Drosophila melanogaster: one gene and its partners. Changing the gene in region 4 together with the main gene of any one other region gives a genetic interaction. Each region holds a gene or a part of one and is shown on either strand. Other genes may lie near its edges.

What was found.
Region 1: of H (region 4) and eyg, changing one suppresses a phenotype caused by changing the other (phenotypic suppression), as found in Drosophila melanogaster (2 studies listed by BioGRID).
Region 2: of H (region 4) and Snr1, changing one suppresses a phenotype caused by changing the other (phenotypic suppression), as found in Drosophila melanogaster (one study listed by BioGRID).
Region 3: of H (region 4) and klu, changing one suppresses a phenotype caused by changing the other (phenotypic suppression), as found in Drosophila melanogaster (2 studies listed by BioGRID).

The regions. Positions count from the first base shown.
Region 1 is NT_037436.4:12,462,022-12,469,606, forward strand, and holds eyg (eyegone), read right to left. Parts: upstream 6,001-7,585; 5' UTR 5,598-6,000; coding exon 5,465-5,597; intron 4,144-5,464; coding exon 3,823-4,143; intron 3,143-3,822; coding exon 3,002-3,142; intron 2,877-3,001; coding exon 2,293-2,876; intron 2,082-2,292; coding exon 1,248-2,081; 3' UTR 516-1,247; downstream 1-515. Other genes in the region: CG32102 (uncharacterized protein), read right to left, coding at 7,136-7,402.
Region 2 is NT_033777.3:5,469,065-5,473,289, reverse strand, and holds Snr1 (Snf5-related 1), read right to left. Parts: upstream 2,365-4,225; 5' UTR 2,232-2,364; coding exon 1,960-2,231; intron 1,466-1,959; coding exon 625-1,465; 3' UTR 536-624; downstream 1-535. Other genes in the region: HDAC3 (histone deacetylase 3), read left to right, coding at 1-414; mRpL44 (mitochondrial ribosomal protein L44), read left to right, coding at 2,712-2,778, 2,831-3,729; POLDIP2 (polymerase (DNA-directed), delta interacting protein 2), read right to left, coding at 3,851-4,204.
Region 3 is NT_037436.4:11,006,177-11,010,992, forward strand, and holds the start of klu (klumpfuss), read right to left. Parts: upstream 3,013-4,816; 5' UTR 2,174-3,012; intron 1-2,173.
Region 4 is NT_033777.3:20,620,043-20,627,942, forward strand, and holds the start of H (hairless), read left to right. Parts: upstream 1-1,895; 5' UTR 1,896-2,453; coding exon 2,454-2,456; exon of another isoform or gene 2,457-2,541; coding exon 2,542-3,256; intron 3,257-3,328; coding exon 3,329-3,502; intron 3,503-4,088; coding exon 4,089-4,849; intron 4,850-4,999; coding exon 5,000-6,551; intron 6,552-6,717; coding exon 6,718-6,746; 3' UTR 6,747-7,900. Other genes in the region: CG5466 (uncharacterized protein), read left to right, coding at 1-40, 120-313. UniProt on the Drosophila melanogaster protein: Is a potent antagonist of neurogenic gene activity during sensory organ development. The expression of distinct cell fates by the trichogen (shaft) / tormogen (socket) sister cell pair depends on the level of H activity.

The DNA of each region.
Region 1 (7,585 bases), on a different chromosome or scaffold from region 4:
ATCGGTCCCCATACGATACCATATGATACCAAACCATACCATCCATTCTCATCTCCTCGTCGCGTTTAGTCTGTCCCCACTGTGTTTGTGCGCGCGGCTTCATTTGGTTATAATTAAAATGTCGATGTTATCAGCCAGATTTGGACATATTGGCCATTACGTTCGAAATTTAAGCGTTTTCTATGCGCGTATTTTGGATTTGGATTTTTTTTTTTTTTTTTTTTTTTTTTGATTTCGATTTCGTTTGGCTTTTTGTTCTGTCTTCGTTCGGTGTATTAATATTTAATAACGTTTTAAGAAGCTTTCGAGTGTTGTTAAATGCTTATTTATGCTTTTCGGCCGTGTTTGGTGTGTTTGTTTGTTGCCCAGTGTGTTTGAATGGATAATTATGCGTGAAATCGAACGTATAAATTGTATTTGTTGTCAAACCAAAGCGAGTCTATACAAACCGATTTCCTGGTCATATATTTCTGTTTGTTTATTGCCGAAAGAAAGTAAACGATTCTTCATTATTTCTTGCACTTTTTATTGGTTTCTCACTCAGCGGTTGACCATTTTAGTTTTTTTCTTTTATTTGAGCCAAAAACACTTAGTCTACGCACTAAATATCAGTTCAAACGCAACCAACTCAAGAATCAAATCCTTAAACAATACGCATTCATAAATAGATTTGGCTTAGGACTATTTTAAAGTTTAAAGTTACATATAGTTAGATATTGCATATGCTATAGCCTTAAATGGTGATGAGGTAAGTCGGCAGCCGGCGAATGAACAAGTATTATAGTATAATTATGCATAACTATAGGGTATACAATGGGCATGTGCATTTCAAGTGGGACAAGCGTGTTCGTATCGGGTATTAGTTACAATTTCAGCTAATCTTAAGCCGCCCATTATGTTGTTGCTGCTGCTTTCTGCTACATTTTTCTGTTTACTTTTTTCTATTTTTATTTAGTTTTTTTTTTCTTTTTTCTAGCGACCCCGAACCGCAGCCAAGTAGGTGAGCAGCATTTTAACTTTGGTTTTTCGATTTGTTTGCCCACTGTGTGTGTAGTCGCTTCTCGTATTTCAGTCCACCAGTTGCAATTTCAAATGCAATTGCAATTGCATCAGTAGTTGCTGTTGCTTTTGCTGCTTTTGTTTTTGTTGCCACTGTCAATCACAGAGGCGCGCACAACTCAGGTTTTCAATTAGACTTTGCCGCCGCCCATCTAGACCAGGTGGCCCTTGTCGCCCATGTCGCCCATCTAGCGGTCATGCTTTAGGAATTGCAACGTGGCCGGCGCATCGGAGGATGACAGGCGAGCCACCTTTGCCGCCGTTGCCGCCGACGACTCAATTTCACCATCGGAATCGTCGTGCACGTTGATCTCCTCATCCGAGTCCGATGACGAGTTGTCCACCGTCATGGTTGAGCCGCCAGATTGAGTGGTGTTGGTATTGGGTCCCGTGCCCTCACCACCGCTCCCCAAACCACCTGCGGAGTAGTGCAATCTGGAGCGCTGCTCCTCGGCGACCGTTAATGATGCAGCCACGGCATATTGCCTGGCCAATCCCAGGAAGGCAGCCGCCGAGGGCGAGCTCACCAGACTCCTGAAGGCACTACGCTCCCCGCCCATGGAGAGGTGATTCGCCGCCGGATTGCATCCACTGGGTGAGAGTTGCTGTTGTTGTTGATGATGTTGCTGCTGCTGCTGCTGATGCTGCTGCTGTTGTTGCTGTTGCTGCTGCTGGTGGTAGTGGCTGAGCAGCTGGAGGGCAGCTGGATGCGTGGGTAGGTGCAGAGGATGATGGTGATGGTGGCCGCCCGGAGGACCATGCAGTGGGTGTAACAGCACCGAAGGTGGCGGACCCTGTGGCGAGTGGTCACCGCACAGGGGCAACGGCTGCTGAGGTGGCGGCACGGGAGCCACTGGAGCGGAGGTGGAGGCACTGCTGTGGTTACTGGGCGTGGGCGAACTGGCCGGTGCATCGTTCGACTGCTGCGAGTGCAGCGGATTGGCGGGACTGGAGCGCTGACGCTTCAGGAGATTCATGCGTTGGTGGCGACGCCATTTAGCCCGGCGATTGGAGAACCACACCTGGAAAGGGTAGAAATAAATGATATTTAATAAAGATTAGTTATTTGAGGTTTTGGTTAATTGGCTTTGAAAGAGGTAACTCTAATTTCTGATATAAAAGTATTGATTTACTCATTAATTTAAATCAAATGGTATGTAACTACTTTACTAGCCACTTTTAATCTTGCTTTTTGAAAGTTTTGAGTGAAGCCTTTGTTTTCACCTGACTCACCTGAACTCTTGCCTCGCTCAAGCTGGTGCGACTGGACAACCGCTCCCTGGTGCTCACACAAGGATAATGACTCTTGTCGAACTCCTTCTCCAGCTCCTCCAACTGCTCCGGACTGAAGGTGGTCCGATTCCGCCTGAACTTGGGCTCATCATCGTCATCCAGATAATCGGAGTCTATGTGCCGGTTCTCATCCGCTGATTCCAAGGTATCATGGCTGCCAGAGCCAGGGGAGATGGCCCGATTGGTTGGTGTGCCACCTGCTCCGCCGGCCATCAAGTGCGCCGAACTGAGGGAGCCACAAGTGGAGACGGGCACAGCGCTCGCTGCACTCGGAGGCAGATTGGCGAGCGTGGGAGCGGCAACGGACCACAGGGCGGATGGAGGTGGCGGTGGTGGTACCCCCTGGCCGCCGGGCACATTGCCGGCCGGATGCCAGGTGAAGCTACCGTACGGATGAGGGGGTGGCGGGTACAGGCCATAGGCGGCGGTGCGAGCAAACTCGGTGGCCACCCGCTCGGCGGCTCGATTGCGCAGGATGCGATTGATGCTGCTCACCGATGGAGCGGTGGCATTAGTGCAGACACCTGCAAGGCGGGATTACGCAATTACCGAGCAGTCGAAGATCGAGATCAAAAGCTAAAAGCGACCGCCGATCAATCAGCGTTCAATCTGCGTCCGCGGATTAGCTGCAATTATGTGGAACACTCACCCTCCGAAATCAGGCGTTCTCGTATCTCCCAGGCGAAGATCGTTGGATTCTCGCGCTTGTACTGTTCGATCTTGGAGACGACCGTCGGCGTGGCCACCTTGGGCTTTGAGCCACCAATTAAGCCCGGTGGTCGCAGCGAGCCTGCAAGAATCAGAGCACAATTCCAGTTAAATTATGAGACAATGGATTTATGACTTTGCCAGCCTGGTTTTGGCAATCCATCTGTTTTTGGCTGGCAGCAAGGATTAACCCTGGTTGCTAATATCTTTATCTGCTCGTTTCATCAACATGTGATGTATGGAAAATATGAATGGGAAAACAATACAAGCCTTGGCAAATACACTGGTAGAAACCAGAGCAGCTCAAGAATTGGAAAACTTAAAAATGAGTGATTTTAACTACTTAAAGTTACTGTAATGACGGGTTTAAAAGACTTAAAAAATTCTAAACATGGAATAAATGTGATCACATATCCTTATTTGGAATTAAGCATTTTTTTCTTTCAGTGCACGGCAGCACGCACCAACCAACACTACCACCAAGGAATACCCGCTCGTGAATAAGCCGCATTTTGATTAATGAGCCAGCCGCGTTTTGGCCACCGCCAGTCAGGAGTTTATGCAATTTTAAGTGGCCAAATTACACGGCTGCGCACACGAGGGATACGCCACGCAGGGGATGGTAGGGGCAACTCGCAGGATAATAACATGTTTATCATAAAAATTAGCAAACAAATCGAAAACAAAGTACCCATTAGTTATCTGATGAGGGAAGGAACTGAGAAACTGAGCGGTCGTCCCTTTCAAGGGCTCACAACTCACCTAGCAACTTGGAGACAGCTCCCTGCTGGGTTAGCATGTGCTGGGCAATGTCATAGCCACGCAGTCCACCGAAACGTGAGAATTCCAGGAGGCGATGCTGTGACATCAGGGTGTTCAATGTGCTCCCCGTGGGTCCACCTGCACCGTGCGGAATGCCGCCAGTGGAGCCGCCGCCGCCAAAGCCGGGTGGTATTTGCACAGATGTGGGTGATGTGGATGTGGCCCCTCCGCCACCGGCTACCGCTCCCGATCCCGCTCCGGCCGCCGCTGCTGCCGCTGCCGCTGCTGCTGCTGCTGCTGCTGCCACGGATGCCGCCGCTACTGCAATTGAATGATAATTGGGTATTGTTATTTTATTGTGGCTTTAGCTGTCGCGGCCACAATGGTTAATTATGATAAATTAAGCGTTAATTGTGTTGACCGAACCGAAATGACTGATGGGTCCTACGAATATATTAGCGTTTCTATTACCCCAGCAAATGTCTAAGCTGATCGAATGGCCAAAATGGTGGCGACACGCAATCGAATCTTCCAGGCACGAGCAGATTTATCAAGCTAATTGATACGACAATGATCTCTTAGTACAAAAGGCGAAAATTAAAATATGTACTCAGCTGGATACGAAAAGAAAGCAAAAAACAAGTAGAAAAACAACTGTGTATTACGTTAATTCGACAGAATATTATATTTGCCTTCGCTTAAAAAACCTACATATATCATTCGGCTTGGGCAACTCGTCGCTCAAATTGTCAATTAGCGTTTTAAATGCGCGTTTCACTTTTGTTGTTTGTCAAGTAAATATTTTTAAAAAAATACGCGCACCTCCAGTCGTGCCTAACTGAATATACATATATGTAAGTATATGGGCCCATAATCAATTGTGCCGCCCATCAAATGAGAACCAGTTTTGTTTATTTCGGTCTATTTAAAGGTGAAAAGCAAGGAAATGGGACTGTCAAATGAGCCACGCAATTGGTAATGTGACATGCGTAACGATTTGTGTTTGTTTTAACTGAAGATTTAAGTTGGAATAACATAAAACATTTGTTATGAACATACTAAGTACGAACATGACAAATTTTAATCGCTTTCTTATAAATGGCCCACATTGTTTAAACTAGAAATATTATAAAGGATCACACTTATTTTATCTTCTGTTTAAGAAAATAAAAAGGCACTCAAAGTTAGTTTTACATAGACCTTTGTATGATCAATTTGATAATTTACATAATTTATCTACCATATACCATTTAAATAAAAAATTGTTTGTTTTACAGCGAAAAGTTAACACCAACTATATTCAAACTAAATGGATCTGGTTAAGAATTACACATAAACACATTTGACCCAGTTTGATACTTTATTTAATACTTTAACCGAAACACCGTTTTAACACACTAATTTAAACGATGCTTAGTTATTAGTTATACATAATTTCAATAATAGATTTTAGGTTTTATCGCGAAAGAACTAATTTGTTTAAATTAAAATTCGAACATTCCGGATTTGCTATCGAATGACATATTACACCTTTGACCCAGTTTCGGATTTATTTTTTGAAGATTTGTGTATATTTTCTTAAAATCCCCAAGCCTGGCTTTGCCGTCGGCAAGACTTCACATGGGCACTTTGGGGCACTTACCACTGGAAGCGTGAGGGGCCAGCGATGTGATGCGTTGGGGATGGGGCTCCATTTTCCAGTGCGCGGCCGAGAGGCCAGAATTAGCGACAGTAAGCGAGCCAAGGTCACGGTTTAAAGTCGGCTCAATCAACATGTCTAAGAATCGCTCTTTCCAATTCTCTTTATTATTTATTGTTATTTTATATTTGTTTATTTTATTAATTTTATTTGGGTATAACACAATCACAGTCACAAGTGTCGCACATCCAAGGCAGAGGTATCGATTATAGCGAATGCAACCGGAAACGGAAATGGAAACGCAATGCGGTCAATTGGATTCATAGCGTGCTGCTCACTCACACACTCGCATACACACGCACACAGATACACACACAGTGACAAATGCACGACAGTCGATCCCGACAGAAACAGTTAGAAAACGCTCCTGCGTATCTCTTGCTCTTATTTTTATTATAGAATTTGTTTTTATCGAATTTCTTGCGAACACTGCGCTCCGTTGAAACGTTGTTCACGCGAAAGCTGCTCTCAGCACAATGAGCGCTTGAATTTCACCTGGTCACCCGGGTCACTCCGCTCCACTCGAACAGTTTCACTCCGCTTTTGAGTGCTTTTCGAAACGCCAACCGGTTTACGAGTACCGTACTTTCATAATGGCGCCCGTTGAGGCAAACTCTTGCTCTCTCGCTCTTCTGCGCGAGAGCGGGACAACCACATGCACACTATGCGCGCACACAAATCAAACAATTATAAACTCGTTGTTGGTAAAGTGCTGAGTATAAACAGTGGCAAGAAGAAGAAGAAGAAGCAGACGAATGAAGAGCAGTGAGTGTGAGAGAGAGCGAACGCTTTGGGGAAGTGACAAGAAGAAGAACCAGAATAAGAAGAGAAAGAGGAGTTGGGGAACCCTTTAATTTTAACTACAAATGTAGTTGGGATACCATAGCACGTTTGAAGTCAACCTTTAGGTGCATTTCTCGCCTAATGTAATATTCTAATTGATTGAATTAACCGTACAGCTTAAATTGTACCATTTAGGAACATTTAGTTCGTAATCTTTACTGTTGAGTAATGCATTCAATTTATCGTTACTTTAAGCCAGAGACCATGGCCCCAATAAGTAGGCACTTTCAAATACCAACTCTTGATTATCATATCGATCTGTGTACAAATGAGCTACATTTACAAAAGTTCATGCATATGTATAATCTCTAACAATTAAGGCTAAAGACTGAAAAGAAGTTTGGCTTTTTGCTTACACTTCTAAAATAAATAATAATAATAAAATATTTTATTTCGAAATTATTAAAATAGCTGTAATATTGTATCAATAAAATGGCAGTATGGTATGTTTGTTTTACTTTTTATTTGATTCTACTCAGGAGAAAGACAAAAAAATATATATAAATAATTGGTAAATAATACCTCAGCAAAATATAAACATTAGCATTATAATAAAACAGAAAAGCATTAAATTGCTTCCTTTTTGTGGACTTCATAACTACTATTCCGCTTTTAAACTGACCAATTGCAATTAAAACTCGATTTTTAAACATAAACTTATTAAAAGAAGATTTAAGCCTGAAAGTCCTTTTTAAACAAACTAAATCGTTTATTGCATTGAAAGATAACATAAAATGATCGCTAAATAACAATAACTAAAATGCCTGCAATTTAAAAGAGCTTAGTAGCATATAGCCATTTGAAAGGAATTTTAATCCGGTCAAATGTGCAGTGAAGTGGCCAAATTGCATCCATTGCGATCCAGAGTGAACCTTGGACACGTATAAATCGCATGCGTGGCATGGGCCGTTTGCCATTCAGGTTTGCACTGCCCGTTTTGGGTCGTTGTCTCCCGGCCTTTGGTGCGTGATGGATGATTGATGTGCTGCCTGGGCAAGGCAATCCGATGTGAATCGAAACTGCAACTAAACTACACATGGCGTGATCGGGGAGCCACACAGATCACAGCTCGCAGCTCGCAACTCTCAGAACAGAACGGGGCAGAAACGGGCTACACCAAGTGGCAGAGTGGCCTGCACAGAAGCCAAATTGCATCAAAGCCCACGGATTGAGTGGCTCCCGGCGATGCAGGATTCGAATTGGAAGCTGAAAGATGAAAGC
Region 2 (4,225 bases), about 15 Mb from region 4:
GGCTACACCTTACGGAACGTGGCCCGCTGCTGGACGCACGAGACCTCGCTGCTGGTGGACCAAGACATTGAAAATGACCTACCCGCCACCGAGTATTACGACTTTTTCGCCCCCGACTTTACACTCCATCCAGAGATTAACTCACGCCAAGATAATGCTAACTCAAAGCAGTATCTTGAACTCATCGTTAAGCATGTGTATGAAAACCTTAAGATGTGCCAGCACTCGCCCAGCGTCCAAATGGTGCAGACCCCGCCTGATGTGGACTTGGAGGAGCTGCGCAGCAACCGGGAGGAGGCGAGTGATCCCGACGTGCGAATATCCGTAGCCGATGAGGACAAGCTGGTTGATGCTAAGAACGAGTTCTACGACGGCGATCAGGACCAAGACAAGCCCGATTCGGCAGAAAGTTAGTATTGGATAATGTAGAATAAGGATTCGAGTTTAGCGTAAGCAGTAAAGAGTATCAGCTTATTTTGTAACATCGTTTGGAACTATTTTTTTTGGAAGTAGCGCGTAGAAGACAATAGGTTTTAAAATCGACAGACACACATTTATTTGGGATGCATAATGGTACTTAATAGGAGGATTACATTAGTGACACATTGCTGGATCGGCGGAAGATCACCAACCAGTTGTGGTATTGGCCAGTCGTCGCATTCTGCGCGTGTTGCGGTCCTGGTCGCGGATTTTCTTCTCCATTTCGGCGTCGGTAAGCGTCTCTAGGAATGGCGCCCATGCGTCAGCGTCGCTGGGATTCCGGAAGGGCACATCAATCGTTGATAGAGGGGCCTCGCTGAAGGCGTACGTTCGACAGTGCCACGATAGCTGACCCCTAATGCTGTAGGCAATGGCCGTAACAAACTCTCCTCCCAATCCCAATTCCGCACAGAGTTTAATGGCAAACTCCTCGGGGTTGTTGTTCTTCTCGGACATGTCCCACTCGACCTGGTCGACGAGCGAGGTGTTGCCCACGTGAATGTTCAGCTTAACAATGACCCGCTGGTCGCAGGTCTCCTCGAGGATGGGGGGATCGTTGGGAAAGGCTTCGATCTGCTGTCGGATGGCCTGTGCAATAGCCGGCACAAAGGGCAGGGGATTGAGGTCCAGGTCGTCGCACAGCACCTCGGCAAACTGCTCCGGAGTAATCATGCTCTCGTTCTTGTTCCACGTGAAGGTGTCGCGCAGCTTTTGACCCTCTAGCTCCATGTCCAGTCGAATGGGCACCAGGCACTCCTTCTGCGCCGCATTCTCCAGGCTAGCCGTGGGATCCGTGTCGTCGAAACACATCGGGAATGTGCGAACCTTCTTCGTGTGCACTCGGTTTCGGTTGATTGGCGTGGCCTGTGGCACTGCGTCCAGGTGGCTGGAGTTCGGCATCGTGGGCACATACTGTGGCTGCTTCTTTGACTTGCTCTCCCGCGGCACTGGCGTATCGGAAGTGTTCACGGAGACGGCGCGATACCTGGGACGGAGATTCATGGTTAGTTAAATCAACTGTTAGCAAATTGACTGATTGGCCCTGCAAGCAGGCAAAATTTACCCAACATTCTGACAATAATACAATTCTCCGTGCTCAATTGGAAATCGTTGTCAATCATACAGACTATTGTGGCAGCTTTGCCAAAAATGTCTATGACATTTTTCCATATTTTTTCAAAATAACTGGGCAGTGTGTGGCTATGTGTGTTTGTATACGTCTTCACTTCAGAATGATAAGTGGTTTTTAACTAAGTGGTCATTAACAATGTTACTAAAATGAAGAATCTTCAGCCAAATGTACACATGTCTTATATTTGATAAAAGGATTACTTGATACCATTGGATTAAACATTTAAAAACAAACGTTTAAGTAGGACTAGTAGGAAGTAGATATCAACGAAGTTAATTGGAATTTTTAGGAAAGGCCCTATTTAGTTACTATTCTGGGGACATTACTTAGGTAAGACGCCCACTTACTTTTCATCGTTGCCGGCCATGATATCATCCACCTCTACGGCGCGGAGCAGCGATACAGAGCTGGCTAAGATGTGGGAGCTGAGGCCGGACTCAGCCAGCCGCTTGCGCTCCTCGTTGGACAGGACGATGCGGGTCATTCCCGGGTACTTCTTGTACAGAATGCCGCGGAAGTGGCGCATGTAGTTGCCCACTTCCGAGCCCACGTAGTAGTACTCGCCGCCCTCCTCCAGCTGGAAGGCCACCGGCTTGTCCCCGTATGTCTGCAGTGCCATGTTGGGTATATTTTCTTCTGTGGTCTCTCAATGCCCTGTTTCTGGCAGGGATTCCTTGTTAATATTCCGCGACTTAAATTTTCTTGGCGCATACACAAACACAGACATGTACATGGCGTCTATTGCGGGAGTGTTGGAAAACGAGCGGGTGCCACCAACGCAATTTAGTACTGGCGCCTTTTAGCTACAAAACGCTAAATAAAAAGCTGAAAGTATTTTTCGTTATAATTACTCGATTAAATGATAAAATTATAATTCATAAAGAAACATATTTAGTTATTATTATTTTTTTTTAATTATACATCTCTGAATAAATATAGAAACAACAAGAAACAAATATTATTAAAATGTATAAGTTAAGTTATAAGTTATAAAATTATATTTACGGTTAGACTGCCATCACTGCCACAAAAACCCGTGCAACACTAGTTCCCATGCGCGAAAACATATTCGTTACTTATTTTTAAGATCGCTTTAAAGATGTCATTCTTACGCAGTGCTGTTGGTCTCCTGGCTCGTGTCAAGCTCTTGGAGGGCTCACCGACTGGTGAGTAACCCGGATTCACCTAATGCCAGTCAGTAATCGTGATTTTCGGCAGTGCAAACGAGGCGCCACATCAAGCGATGGGTTTCGCCAACGTTACGTGAGCTCGCCCACCGGCAGAAGAAACTAGGACCACAAAAGCCAGAGCGGCGTTCTGGGTTCGTGGAGTGGAACCAGCGATCGGAGCTCTTCGCGTTCGGCAAGCGTTTGGGCGAATCCTTTGAATTGTCGGAGCTGCAGCGTGCTTTTACAGAGAAATCGTTTGCAGAGCGGGAGGAGGATCGTCGTCGGCAGCTAGGCATTGAGGAGTCTGACCTCCAGATGCCTCACAATAGCGATCTGGTCGAGAAGGGCCAACAAATTGCCCGTGCCTACGTTGAGGCCTTCCTGCAGCACCAGTTACCGAAGGTCCCTAATGAAGGACTCCAGGCGATCGCCAGTTATCTACTTAGCACCGAAACGCTTGCTCACGTCTCGACCCACCTGGGCACAAAGGATCTGATACAGTCTACGGAATACCCGCCCTCGGCCGAAAGTCAGGCCAAATCTTTACACGCAGTTATTGGCGCCCTGGCCAGTTCCAGTGGAATCGAGAGGGCTTTCATTTTTGTACGCGATTTCATCTGCACGCAACTGAATCAAAAGGACCTGTTGGAGGTGTGGACTCCCCAGGAACCAATCCAGCTGCTGGAGAAGATATGCCAGGAGCGAAAGCTGGGCGAAGCGGAGCCCCGCCTGCTTGGAGACTGCGGAAAGAACACTGTGCTAGCCGCCTACCAAGTAGGCATCTACGCCAACCGGCAGCTACTGGGCAAGGGATTCGGTGAAGATGTGAAAACAGCCACAGAGACTGCGGCACTCGACGCTCTGCAGAGCATCTTTGACACCCGCGACAACCGGAGACCCTTTGACTTTGCCATTCAGCTAGAACCAAAGACCGTGCGACTTGGCTGAGAATCAAAACTGGCTCTGCGTCCTTGTTGATTATTGTAATTTGCACTAAACACATGTACGCATGCATTGTCAGAAAAGATTGCGTTTTAAAATCATTTAACTACGGGTGAACAACTGCCTCTTAATCGCTATCGTCGCGCTTTTTATCGTGGGCACTGGGCGTGGCCGGTGTGGGCGTCCCTAGGTCGTCCGGCTTGCTCTCCAGTGAGAAGGGCGGAATCTTGCAATCGAAGGAGTATCCGTCTTCGCGCTCCAGCCGGAAGGTGCCCCACATATGGCCGCTGGGAGCCTGCAGGCTCACATGGCTGCTGTACTGAAAGGCGGGCAGCCGGGGGCTCAGAATGGGCTCCTGGCCCACCACTCCTCTTCCGCGCACCGTCTCCAGGGTTCCAGACAGTGAGAAAATGCGCCAGTGGCGCTCGCGCAGCTGCACGCTCAGCTCGCCGAGGTTCTCCAGTCGGATGCAGTAGCGCCACTGGAAAGGTACTTTATGACG
Region 3 (4,816 bases), on a different chromosome or scaffold from region 4:
CTTGGCAACTGTGACAGACATGACAGTCTTTGTTTTATTGTTTAACGCATTTCAATTAACAACTCCAATGATCTGTCTGATTGTTAGATGGCCGATGGTGTGTCTCTTTTAACGCACACGTGATGATTGAATTTTAATTTTCAGCCCAGCAGCTTGGCCAAAAGCTGTGACCCCTTTGAGCTGGGGGTCCACCTCCACAACCTTTTGTGGCATTTTTTCTGAATCGGGCACGACTAATCCAAATCAAATGGCTTCTCCAAATCAATTCGTTTTCAATCGTTTAAAGTTAATTAACGCGCCAGAATTTTATTTCACTTTACACATTCCTCTTTCACTGCTCCCCAAAATCGTCTCCTTTGTTCTGTAACACGCTTTTGTTTTGCTGTAAATTTATTTTATGTTTTTTCCTTTTAAGCTTTTTGTTTTTTTTCCCTTTATTGTGTGCATTTTCACTGTTTTTTATTTTATTTTGTATTTTTTCTGAGTTTTTTTGTGTTTTTTTTTTGTATTTCGCTCAACGTCTCAATTTCAATGCGCGCTCTTTTGTTGTTTGTATTAAAATTGTTAATTTAAGGCTGTGTCAGAAATAAATTAACCACTGAACCAGGGACCTTAACTCGACCAAACACAGTATATATGGCGTTATTTTCTTTTTTTTTTTTTATTCCGCCCTGTTTCTAGGGAAGGGAGCCGCCACCAGGAGCACCTAGGTGCTTTTGTGTGGAAAATGCAAATTGCCATTGACATCGGGGTCTGAGAAATGGCGTCGTGCGGGTGAGACTCCAACCAGCGAACCACCTGAGACACCATCGCCACCATTGCCCCCCAACTGCACCACCGATGGAAGCCACCGAGTGGCTCCGTCTGTTTTATATGCCAAATGCAGTGGGACAGCGGCAGACGTCGCCGTTCGTCATATAAGGTGCGGTGCGTATAAGTCAGCCGCGTTGGAGGAGCAGAGAAAAAATCACTCGACATATTGAGAAATGTGCAATAGCCTAATGCCCATTTAAGGCAGCACTTTTCATGGCAAGTTGCATTTATCGCCGATCGGATCGGATCGGATCGGAATCGAAATCGGTTTAGAGCGATCGATCAAGCGTTGTGGCTATTGGCGTTTGGCGTTTGCCAGACAGGTCAAAAGCAAAGCAAACGGATTTTGGTCCAGCACTTGATGCAGTAATCTATGCTAATGGGCAAGTGTAAAACATCGCGGAGCTATTATCGCAGAACTGTTGTTTAAGGAACCAACCACATCGAGCAGATGCCTGTAAATGGTATAAATTACCAATGAATGACATACGATTTAATTGCCTCGACTAAGTAGCAACCGCTAGCAACCAGCAACTTGCAACAAGCAACTAGCAACTAGCAACTTGCAACTTCTGTTGCATACAGATCAGTTGATGTTGTTGCTGCCCGTGTCTCGAGTTGCTGGAATTAATTAATATTGCACTTTTGAAGCGCGTGCATACAAATTTGTCAGCCAGACGGGCAGTTCTTCGGCTCAGGTGTAGACAATTGGCATAGTTCACATAGAGAGAGAGAGAGAGAGAGATAGAGAGAGGGAGTGCAGCCCAGCTCTGCTTTTGGCCAAGATGGGCAATTAAAATTCCCCGAGACTGGCTAAAACTGGAAGTGGGAATCTGGAGCTGCAACTGGATGTGAGGAAACTGGGGCTAAGGGTCCTAGTACTATCTTTCTACCAGGCTCTCTATCTCACTCGCTTTTGTGTGCGTCAATTTGCCAGGCACACGATCTGCAGATCGGCGATGTCAAGTTGCTGCTGCGATTGACGTCAATATAGATAGAGTCAATATGGCATGGGAGTGAGATGAGATTGGGATGATGATGATGATGATGATGATGATGATGTGGATGATGCCACTGGAGGGGGCCCGTGCTGATATGGACTCATCATCAGTCCATCATTCATGGGTGCAATCGATTGCAGCACACACATACATATGTACATATGTATATAGCATATAGCCGCCGATCTGATATTACGCTGAGTGTTATGGTAAACCGATCCTATTCGTAACTGGAGCTCAGCTTTTGACACATTTCGACCAACCAAACAGCACAGCTGAGATGGCACTTTATAGTTTTTTTTCTTTCGGCTGTCCAAATGACTAAGCCGTCGGCAAATTGAGCGATCTCGCGAACTCACCTTTAATTTTTTTTTTTTTTTTTGTAGGAGGGGAATTATCCAAGCATTATCCAATTTGTAGCTTTTGCCTTCGGGGTGGCAAAACACATTTAACAAATATTTTTTAGGCTGCGTTGTGTAAACTCTAATTGCTAATATCAAAATATCACACTTCTTTTATTTTTATGTATTATTTGTGCTTATGCTGCGTTTGCGTGTTTGGCTTATTGTGTGTTTTGCGGCTTTAATTGATTTATATTACTTAATGGGCTGTTAAGACACACACTTTTCACTTGATTTTAAATGATTTGGCGAGTTTAGTTTACGGATTTCTAGGCGTTTAGATACTTTGCAGCTTGCCACTATTAGATTTCGAATTGCTGTTGTTGCACGCGCGATCGTTATTGTTGCAGTTGCAGTTGCAGTTGCAGTTTTGGGCTGCAGTTTCGTGCTGTCGTGTTTCGCGGTCTCGTCGCGTCAACGTGCGAATAACAAATAACGAAAACGTACGAAAAGATTTTCACTGCAAGAGGTTGGTTTTCCCGACGTGGCGTCGTCGTCGGCGTCGGCAGAGCTTCGGCAGCAGCGACGGCAACACCGAACCACCAAGACCTATCCAAACCAACCACTGAAACTCTCTTCGCGGAGAGAGAGAGAAAGAGAGTTTTTTGTGTGGCGGGTTGGAGGGGGAGTCTGTAAGCGCACTGCGAAGATTACGTTACGTTCGGATATATTTTCTATATATTTTTCTTTTTTTTTGGGTCCGAAAAAGACGCGTCTTGGTTATTCAGCACTGAAGAATTTGCGGCAGCGCGTGCGGAGCGTCGATGAACCTGAACCGACACTGCCCAGCAAGAAACTGACTTCTGAGTAGAGTCGCCACTCGTACAGCGACGATACCAGGCACCAATACCATCGCACCGAGAGACACCCACACCGAGGCAAACAGGCGGCGGTATCTGTGTGTTAGTGCCGACTGTTGGCCTCTCATTCGCCGGATAAAGTCGCGAGAGAGCGAGAAAGAGCAGCACGTGCAGTGGAGATTTCTCTAGTTCTTTTTTTTTTTTTTGTGTTCCGCTTTTCTCGGTGGGAGCTGCTCGAAGAGCTTCTCCTCCCACTCTCCGCCCGCCCGAGCAGTTGTTGTTTATGGCTGCGTGGGCTTCTAATTGCTCAAAACTCTATGCCAATGGGGGCACTCGGCTGCATTTGGCGCTTTTGGGTCGCCAGTTGCGAGTCGAGCTCCGAATAGGCACCTCCCACTTCCACCGACTGGCGTTATATAACATCGAATGCGAAGATAAGCTAACGAAATCCGAATCCAAGCGGATGTCTTTTCCACTGTCTTGCAGAAGGCGAAGGCAAATAGAAGCAGCGCTCGTTGAATCCTTTGGGAAGTTGGCCGGCTTTTAGGTCACTTTTCGCATCCTTCGAGCAATATATGTCACTTAATTGAGCCCTTTCTTCTTAATACAGCATTTCATTTTCATTTGAGTTCTAAACTAAACTAAACTTACATTGCTCAGAAGCCAAAAAATTTTGATTTATGCGTTTAGTACTTTATCGACTTTAAGGGCCTTCTAATCTTAGAAACAATTACAAAACAATTTCAAATATATAATTTATTAAAATGTTTTACAAATAGTAATAGCAGCGTTTTTAGTTACAGTTTAAAACTCAAACATTCTCTAAAGCAAAAATGTAAATTCAATACTTTTTGATTGAAATTTAATTAGTCTAGTTTTTAATAATTCTTGGCTTTGAACTTATTTTCTTTTAAAAATAATATAATATTCTTAATTGGAACTCTTTTTTGTTTAACTTCGCAAAAAAATTAAAGCGCTACAAAATGATCTAAAATATATATTTGTTTAATTTTAGACTTTCATTTGTACCCATGAAGTTATTTTTGTCTAACATGCATATAAGCCAACTTGCATTATAAGAAAATCGCAGTTGACTGATTTTGAGCCGCATTGAAGGCCCGGATAAAATCGTCGGATAAACTCTCTCACCTATACCACACACACGTTTCGCTCGCACACAGATACAGTTTCGGTCTCTCTCTCTGCGCTCGTGAGAATCGAAATGCCGGCAAAACAACTTCACAGATACGATATCTGAACTTGAAATGCCGATGCACGAGAGAGAGAGAGAGCGCGCTCTCTCTCTCTTTGCACACCGTGTGTGCGGTTGTGTGTGTGGCGCAGCTGCCGAGGTGTCAGTGTATCTGTGTGCGCCTCCATCCAGGTGTGTATGTGTGTGTTTACAAAACAAAACTGAATTGAGAAAAAACCAAAAAAAAGAAAAAACAAAGCAAAAGCATGCCAAGGCAGCAACAACACAATTTGTGAATGAACGAATAGTGGCGCACTCACACACACACGCACACGCAGATACTCAACCCACACCACTATCTCTAAGTGTGTGTGTGTGTGATTGTGGGCAGGGAAAATAAACGCGTTTACGCGATTCGTACAAAATTCGTGGGTCTTTCAAAAAAGAGAAGCACTGCAAAGAGCCAAAAGTGAACGTAGGTGTTTGGCTATAAGTTATATGCCACATGCTTATTGGTATTATACATATGCACGTATATTTCATATGCAGATGTATGTATGTATGTATGTATGAGTGATTAAAATGAGACGGCGACAAAAGAAACGAAAC
Region 4 (7,900 bases):
TGCAAGCCCTACGGCAAGCAGAGTGAGAGTCTGCAGAAAAGTGAGTACCTTGGCTGGGAACCGGTTTCGCTATCTGCGATGCTGACCGCCTCCTGCTTGCTCGTTCTCTTCCCCGACAGCCCTCATGGACACCATTCAGATCGTGCAGACGCTGCGCAACTGCCTCCCAGCTCCTCACATACCCGTGTCGTCCTGGAAAAGTGAGAGCGAGGGCAACGTGGGATCAGGAGTGAGCGCGGGAGTAGGAGTGGGTGTCCCTGCAGGACTTAACCTGGGCGCCGCCTTGGGTCTGCCATCGGGCAACATGCACTAGATGCGGGCTGGAGCTCATCGGGTAGCATGCAATAGCTCCGGATTTATCCACTCACATTCTTCCAGCAGTTAGAGAACACTTAGTACTTACACGCAGAGAAAAGCATAGATGATAGGCATAGCAATTTACCCTCGTAGGCGTGGCTCCAGTTTTCCTTTTAGCAATTACGTGCCATGTTCAACACAAGACTTGATTTCACATTTTCCACATTTGACTGACCTTTAGGCATACATATGTATCGAATCCCGCGGCTTGAATTTGATTCCCATCACTCTTTGTTTTCCAGTTTGGCATGCAAAATTATGAAGCAAATCGGCAAATTAGTTAAACAATTGGCAAAACGTCTGTGATATTTGAATTATGTTGGCAAACGGAAGACAAAACTAAATTTAATTTATTACGTTGTGTGCCCTCTGTTGTAATGTCTTACTTTTTACTTTGTGCAATATCTACTAAGCATATATTCTTAGCCGTTCTCGTGCAATCGACGACTTTTCGCCCATATCAAAAGCAACTCGAATGTAGCCTATACTTAAACTAACCTACTGATAATCGGACATGATAGACGCGTAAGACTTACATTATATTTTGCATTAGGACTTCAGAGTATCTGAATAACAATTGGCGGATGGCCGCGGTGGCGAAAGCGACATTACGAGTTGTGTTTAAATTTAAGAAGCTGAAGAAGGGTTGTACTCCGCATGCAAGGGCTATTTAAATATATATTTTAACCCGCCCGAGCTCACCATTACCAGAAATTCGATAAACGAGCAAACAGTATTATACGCAATAAAAAGACACCTGCAACCATAAGTATTTACCTAGCTGATGTGTGGGAATTTATCGTAACATACCATATTATCGCTTAATGTTTAACTTCTGGACTTAATAATAAATAAATATTTTATTCTACGACAAAGAAGAACTTTTCAATGTAACATTATTAACTGCTTTAAGTCATATCCTTAAACTTTCGCCTTGAAAATCTTTAAAACCCTACAGGTATTCCAAATTAATAATCTCAGGTGCTAGAAATTTAATTAATATATTTTGGAAACAGCATAAATTAGTGAAAATACAACATTGTTTTAATCAAACATTTTTAAAAGCATGTTTTCGGTTGCAAAGTTTTCCAATTTCAATCCTGAAATTAAAGTTGAGTTGAACAATTGCTATAAAAAGCGACCATTTATTACGTTTTATAAACTGTCCCGATTGTGATTTTAGTTGTTTATTTTATTTCATATTTAAAACCGTTACTATTTTAAAAATCGTTCGCTAAAGATTGTGCTTTTAAGCATTGATAACTATCGCTAATTGCCAGAATTCGTAATCTTATTTGACTTGAATTGTAAAAATATAGGATTTAGGATTTTTACCAAATAGATGTAGTTCAAAGAACACAATTCTTTTTATTATTAAGCATTTTATTTTGGGAGTTCCTTGCACTAGCTTTTTGCAGCGACCTGTGTGTAAGCTTACATTGAGATAACATTAATGTGAACGTGCAGCGAATGCAGCACTATAACATTGGCCAGTGGAAACATGATATTTGCTAGCATGCTGACTGGCGCCGTGGATTTTGACGTTCTTAGTTGACGGTCACACAGCGCACCGAGCTGCGTTTTTCGTTGATAATTTTTAAATTTATTTATTAGTTTATTGGTTGGAAATAGAGCTGCCCCCAACTGCCCGCTGACCACGGAATTATCGGTCCGGTCCACCGACCTCCGCTTTCACACACTATTCGGCAATCGATATATACGCTGACGGTAATTGGAGAACGTTTTTTCCATTTTATCTCCACCTTGTCCGCACTTCGTTTTGTGCTCTCTTTGTGCGCTGCCTCCGCTTAACATTTGGGCCTGTAAGAAACACATATAAGCAGAACGGCCCGCCGTGTGTGCCTGTGAAATTGGTTAAATAACGTACAGTGGAATGGGCCAATGGCCAAAATGCAATAAGAATATGTGTGTGCAATAAAAATAGGGAACGGTACCGTGCCCCAAAACATGAAAATGGTGCTAGACGCTCCTAACGCCGTGCCGAGCTGGCATATTTTGCTTAGCGACGCCGTCGGCTCCGTTTTTCCCGGCCGCGAACTTTGCGCGAGGAATTTACAACAAAAACAATGAATTAAATGGTATTTAAATTGTCCATATAATGCGGTTTGGAAATGCGAAATTGTGCCTAACTTGCCCAATGCAAACGAATGTTTCTCTTTGAAGGCCCTGCTTAATGACGTCACAAGCGTAGCAGAGTGCAACAGACAGACAACAATGACCGATGAGCATAAAAGTAACATTAACAGTAACAGCAGTCACTCCAGCAACAACAACAACAACGGCAGCAGCAGCAATAACGACAACAACAGCAACGACGACGCAGCAAGTAGCAGCAACAGCAAAAACAACAACACCAGCAACGAGAGCAGCCACAGCAACAACAATACTAGTAGCATAATTGCAGAGGCGGCCGCCAAGTTTCTACTGAAAAATGGCCTAAACGGCAGTAGCAGCACCAGCTACCCCCCTCTGCCACCGCCTCTGCCCGCCAACTTAAGCAGGACGACCACGCCCACGACAACGACAACGCCCTCATCCTCCAGCTCCACCGCCTCAAATGGCTTTTTGCCGCATGCCAAGACGCCCAAAAGTAGTAGCATTATGGCTGCGTCCGCCGCAGTGGCAGCCAGCGTCGTTGGAGCTACTGCGTCCAAGCCCACCATCGATGTCCTGGGGGGCGTCCTGGACTACAGTTCCTTGGGCGGAGCTGCAACAGGCTCACTGCCCACCACTGCAGTAGTAGCGGCGGCAGCGGGAACAGCGAAGATCGGCAAGGGAAGCAACTCCGGCGGAAGCTTTGATATGGGCAGGACACCAATATCGACGCACGGCAACAACAGCTGGGGCGGCTACGGTGGTCGTTTGCAGTTCTTTAAAGGTAAGTATCTTGGTTTATTTATACCGAATCAGAGCAGTGTAAAGAAAACCATTTTTTAACTATTCTGCGTAGATGGCAAATTCATATTGGAACTGGCGCGGTCCAAGGATGGCGATAAAAGCGGCTGGGTTTCGGTCACGCGCAAGACCTTCCGCCCTCCATCGGCGGCCACCTCCGCAACTGTGACCCCAACGTCGGCGGTGACCACAGCGTATCCAAAGAACGAGAATTCCACATCGCTGAGCTGTACGTAACACATGGCATAGTAGTTCCCAACGGATTACCCCTTCCATTTAATTACTTGACCCGATTGGAATCAGATTTGAGTAAAAGGAATTGGATTTTGAAACATGTGTAGATAGCTAGCTTAATCCGAGCGGTCAAAGCTTACAAACACTTGCAGTTATAAAAAACATGTGCCTATTTGACTTAAATTGTTCTAATGGCACGTAGAGGATAAAGTCCAATTTCGAAAACAAAAAATCTGTAAAAAACGACCGCACCTATGTTCAAATCTCTGATCTATTTTAAAACTGTATATATCGGCCATCTCTAATATTATATTTAAAATCTACGAAAATGTCAAACGTTTTAATGAAATAGTAAGAAAAAACCAAACTGTTCAGAATCGGTCATGTTCTTTGTATGACAGTTTTCCAATTCGATCCTATAAAATATAATGTCCTCCCATCCTTGTATACATTTAAATCCTATTTCATAAATTGTTAACAATCTGAATCAAACAAAAGCAAATATTTATTTATGCCAAACTATAATTAACTACTACAATTTGTCTATGTATACCTTGCGTTAATATTCCTCTTCATTGCAGTTTCGGACGACAACAGCTCGATACAATCCTCTCCTTGGCAGCGAGACCAGCCCTGGAAACAGTCCCGACCCAGGCGCGGCATATCTAAGGAGCTGTCGCTCTTCTTCCACCGCCCCAGGAACAGTACGCTTGGCCGAGCTGCTCTCCGGACAGCCGCTCGCAAACGACGGCGCCCCCACGAGCCGCTTACCACCAGCGAGGATCAGCAGCCCATTTTTGCGACGGCAATCAAGGCGGAAAATGGAGACGATACTCTTAAAGCAGAAGCTGCAGAGGCCGTTGAAATTGAAAATGTTGCTGTGGCGGACACAACCACAAATGAGATTAAAATTGAAAAACCGGACACGATCAAAGGCGAGGATGATGCTGAACGGCTCGAAAAGGAGCCGAAGAAGGCGGTTAGCGATGATAGCGAGTCAAAAGAAGCATCGCCCGGTCAGCAAGTGGAACCACAACCAAAAGATGAGACTGTTGATGTTGAGATGAAGATGAATACGAGCGAGGATGAGGAACCCATGACAGAGCTGCCCAGAATCACGAATGCCGTAAATGGTGATCTAAACGGCGATCTAAAGGCGAGCATTGGGAAACCAAAATCCAAGCCGAAGCCAAAAGCCAAGCTCAGCAGCATCATTCAGAAACTCATCGATAGCGTACCAGCACGGCTTGAGCAAATGTCGAAGACATCAGCTGTGATCGCATCGACAACGACGTCTTCAGATCGCATTGGTGGCGGTCTAAGTCACGCCTTGACGCACAAAGTAAGTTTTACTTGGCACAACCTGCATAAGCTGCGGTTTCAAATGTTAATCATGTACTGCAACATTTTTATTATGTTAAAGTTGTAAATCTAGTTAGGGACTTTCATAAAGAAAAAACTTTGAATTGACCACTTAAATATCTTCTTTTAGGTTTCTCCACCCTCTTCTGCGACAGCAGCCGGACGACTAGTCGAGTACCACACCCAGCACGTGTCGCCCAGGAAAAGAATCCTGCGCGAGTTCGAAAAGGTGTCGCTAGAGGACAACGGATGCGTAAACAACGGCAGCGGTGGAGCTAGTAGCGGTGGTGCTGGAGGAAAACGGAGTCGAGCAAAGGGAACTTCGACATCGTCTCCGGCTGGCAAGGCGTCACCAATGAACTTGGCGCCACCCCAAGGAAAGCCAAGCCCCAGTCCCGGCTCCAGCTCATCCAGCACTTCGCCAGCGACCTTGTCAACGCAGCCAACGCGGCTCAACAGCTCTTACAGTATCCACTCCCTGCTAGGTGGGAGCAGTGGCAGCGGTAGCTCATCCTTCTCCTCCTCTGGCAAGAAGTGCGGCGATCACCCGGCAGCTATTATCAGCAATGTGCACCATCCACAGCACTCAATGTACCAACCCAGTTCCTCGAGCTATCCACGCGCCCTGCTCACCTCGCCAAAGTCGCCCGATGTGAGTGGCAGCAATGGCGGGGGCGGAAAATCGCCCTCGCATACAGGAACCAAGAAGCGTTCGCCACCGTACTCGGCGGGATCACCCGTAGACTATGGCCACTCCTTCTACAGGGATCCCTATGCGGGAGCAGGTCGTCCTTCCACATCGGGCTCAGCATCGCAGGACCTGTCGCCACCGCGCTCTTCCCCAGCATCGCCAGCCACGACGCCGCGTACTGTGCCCAAAAAGACTGCATCGATCCGACGCGAGTTCGCTTCACCGTCGGCCAGCAGCAGTAGCTGTCCCTCGCCCGGCGACCGGAGTGCATCGCCCCCGGAACGGCGGCACATGCAGCAGCAGCCGCACCTACAGCGTAGCTCGCCGCTGCACTACTATATGTACCCGCCACCGCCCCAGGTGAACGGGAACGGCTCGGCCGGAAGTCCGACCTCGGCGCCGCCCACGTCGAACAGCAGTGCAGCTGCAGTAGCGGCGGCAGCAGCGGCCGCAGCCGCATACATTCCCTCGCCTTCGATATACAACCCGTACATATCCACACTGGCGGCGTTGAGGCACAATCCGCTGTGGATGCACCACTATCAGACAGGAGCGTCGCCCCTGCTGTCGCCACATCCACAACCCGGTGGCTCAGCGGCCGCCGCTGCTGCAGCTGCTGCTGCGAGATTATCGCCCCAATCGGCCTATCACGCGTTCGCGTATAACGGAGTGGGAGCGGCTGTTGCCGCTGCAGCAGCTGCGGCAGCCTTTGGACAACCGGCGCCCAGTCCCCACACGCATCCGCACTTGGCCCATCCGCACCAGCATCCGCACCCGGCTGCACTGACCACCCACCACTCTCCCGCTCACCTGGCCACGCCAAAACTGACTGATAGTAGTACCGACCAAATGTCTGCAACGTCCAGTCATCGCACAGCCTCCACTTCGCCGAGCAGCTCGAGCGCATCGGCCTCCTCCTCGGCGGCCACTTCGGGCGCCAGCTCCTCCGCAATGTTTCATACTAGTAGTCTAAGGAATGAACAAAGTTCAGGTAAGCATTCAATCAGTGCACCAATAATGGCAAGCAGTTTGATGATTCAATTTTCATTCCTCTGGGAATGTCTGAAGAAAATATATTACAGATCCATTTATTATGTTGTCAATTTAATGCACGTAAAACACAATTTAATAACGTTTCTTATTTATTTCTTCCTTAGACTTACCACTGAATCTGTCAAAGCACTGAGACATACACACGCCCCAGCTGCCCCAGTTTCTGGGCCAACCATTCGAGTTAAGAACATTTTCGCACTAGTAGCGCTTAAGACGACATTCAATACACGTAATATAATTTGATAAGTTCGCTGATAGTTTAGTTGTAACCCGATTGTTTAATCCTAAGCCTAATCCTAGGTTCTCAATTAGGGCCGAACATTTAGAAATCGCATACAAAAAGAGATGAAAAACTCAACTTTGTTTTTAAACCCGTTCCAGAACTCTTTATACAATCAGTTGAGAAATTTTATTTTCGACAAACTGAATAAAATATGCAAAGGAATTTTATTCTATGCCGACTAATGGAAAGAAATACTAATAAAAACATTTTCTATAGGATGTATAAAATGCAAGTCTTAAAGAATCTCAAAAAAGAGTTACGTTTTTTTCATCAAAACATTTCCTTGAAACAGACTGAACCTGAATTTTTTTAGAAAAAAAAAATGAAAAACTTAGTTACGAATCGCAAAATATAACATTTTAAAGTATATTTAACAAAACTACAAGAACAGATTTTTATAAAATGCTTGTGCCTTTAAAAATGGAAACAGAACTAGGGATACAAAAATTAATATTAAAAAGAAAAAGAAGTTTACTATAAAAACATTTATGTGCAAGCATGTGCAGGTATTCTATGGTGAAAACTTTAGAATTTCTTGATATCGTGGTCCAAAATGCAGTTGACAGGAATTTGCACTAAGCAGATTGTATACGACACCAACTTTTTAAGTACTTTTAAAAATGTATCTTTTAATTATTTCGGAATAATTATTCTAAAATAGTTAAAAGATAAAAGCAATCCAAAACTATACAACTCGTCTGTACTTCAAAACGAAAGAGATTACTCTTTGGTCTTACATTTTTTGGTAGACTGTAAAAACTAAAATTCGAAAAAATTGTTGAAGTTTGAATTTAAATCCTCGGCGGATCTAAATTTAACCTCCACGATTGTTGTCACCATCAAAAATATTATATAACTGTGCCTAGTGCACATTCGCTGTCAGTGGCTGTCCAATCAAAAACAAATAAAATGTACAAAAAATCCACATATACGACAAATTTACAAGAAACGGAAAGCAAAAAGATCCTAAGCAGACAATTTCAAACCGGAACTCGTACAACTGA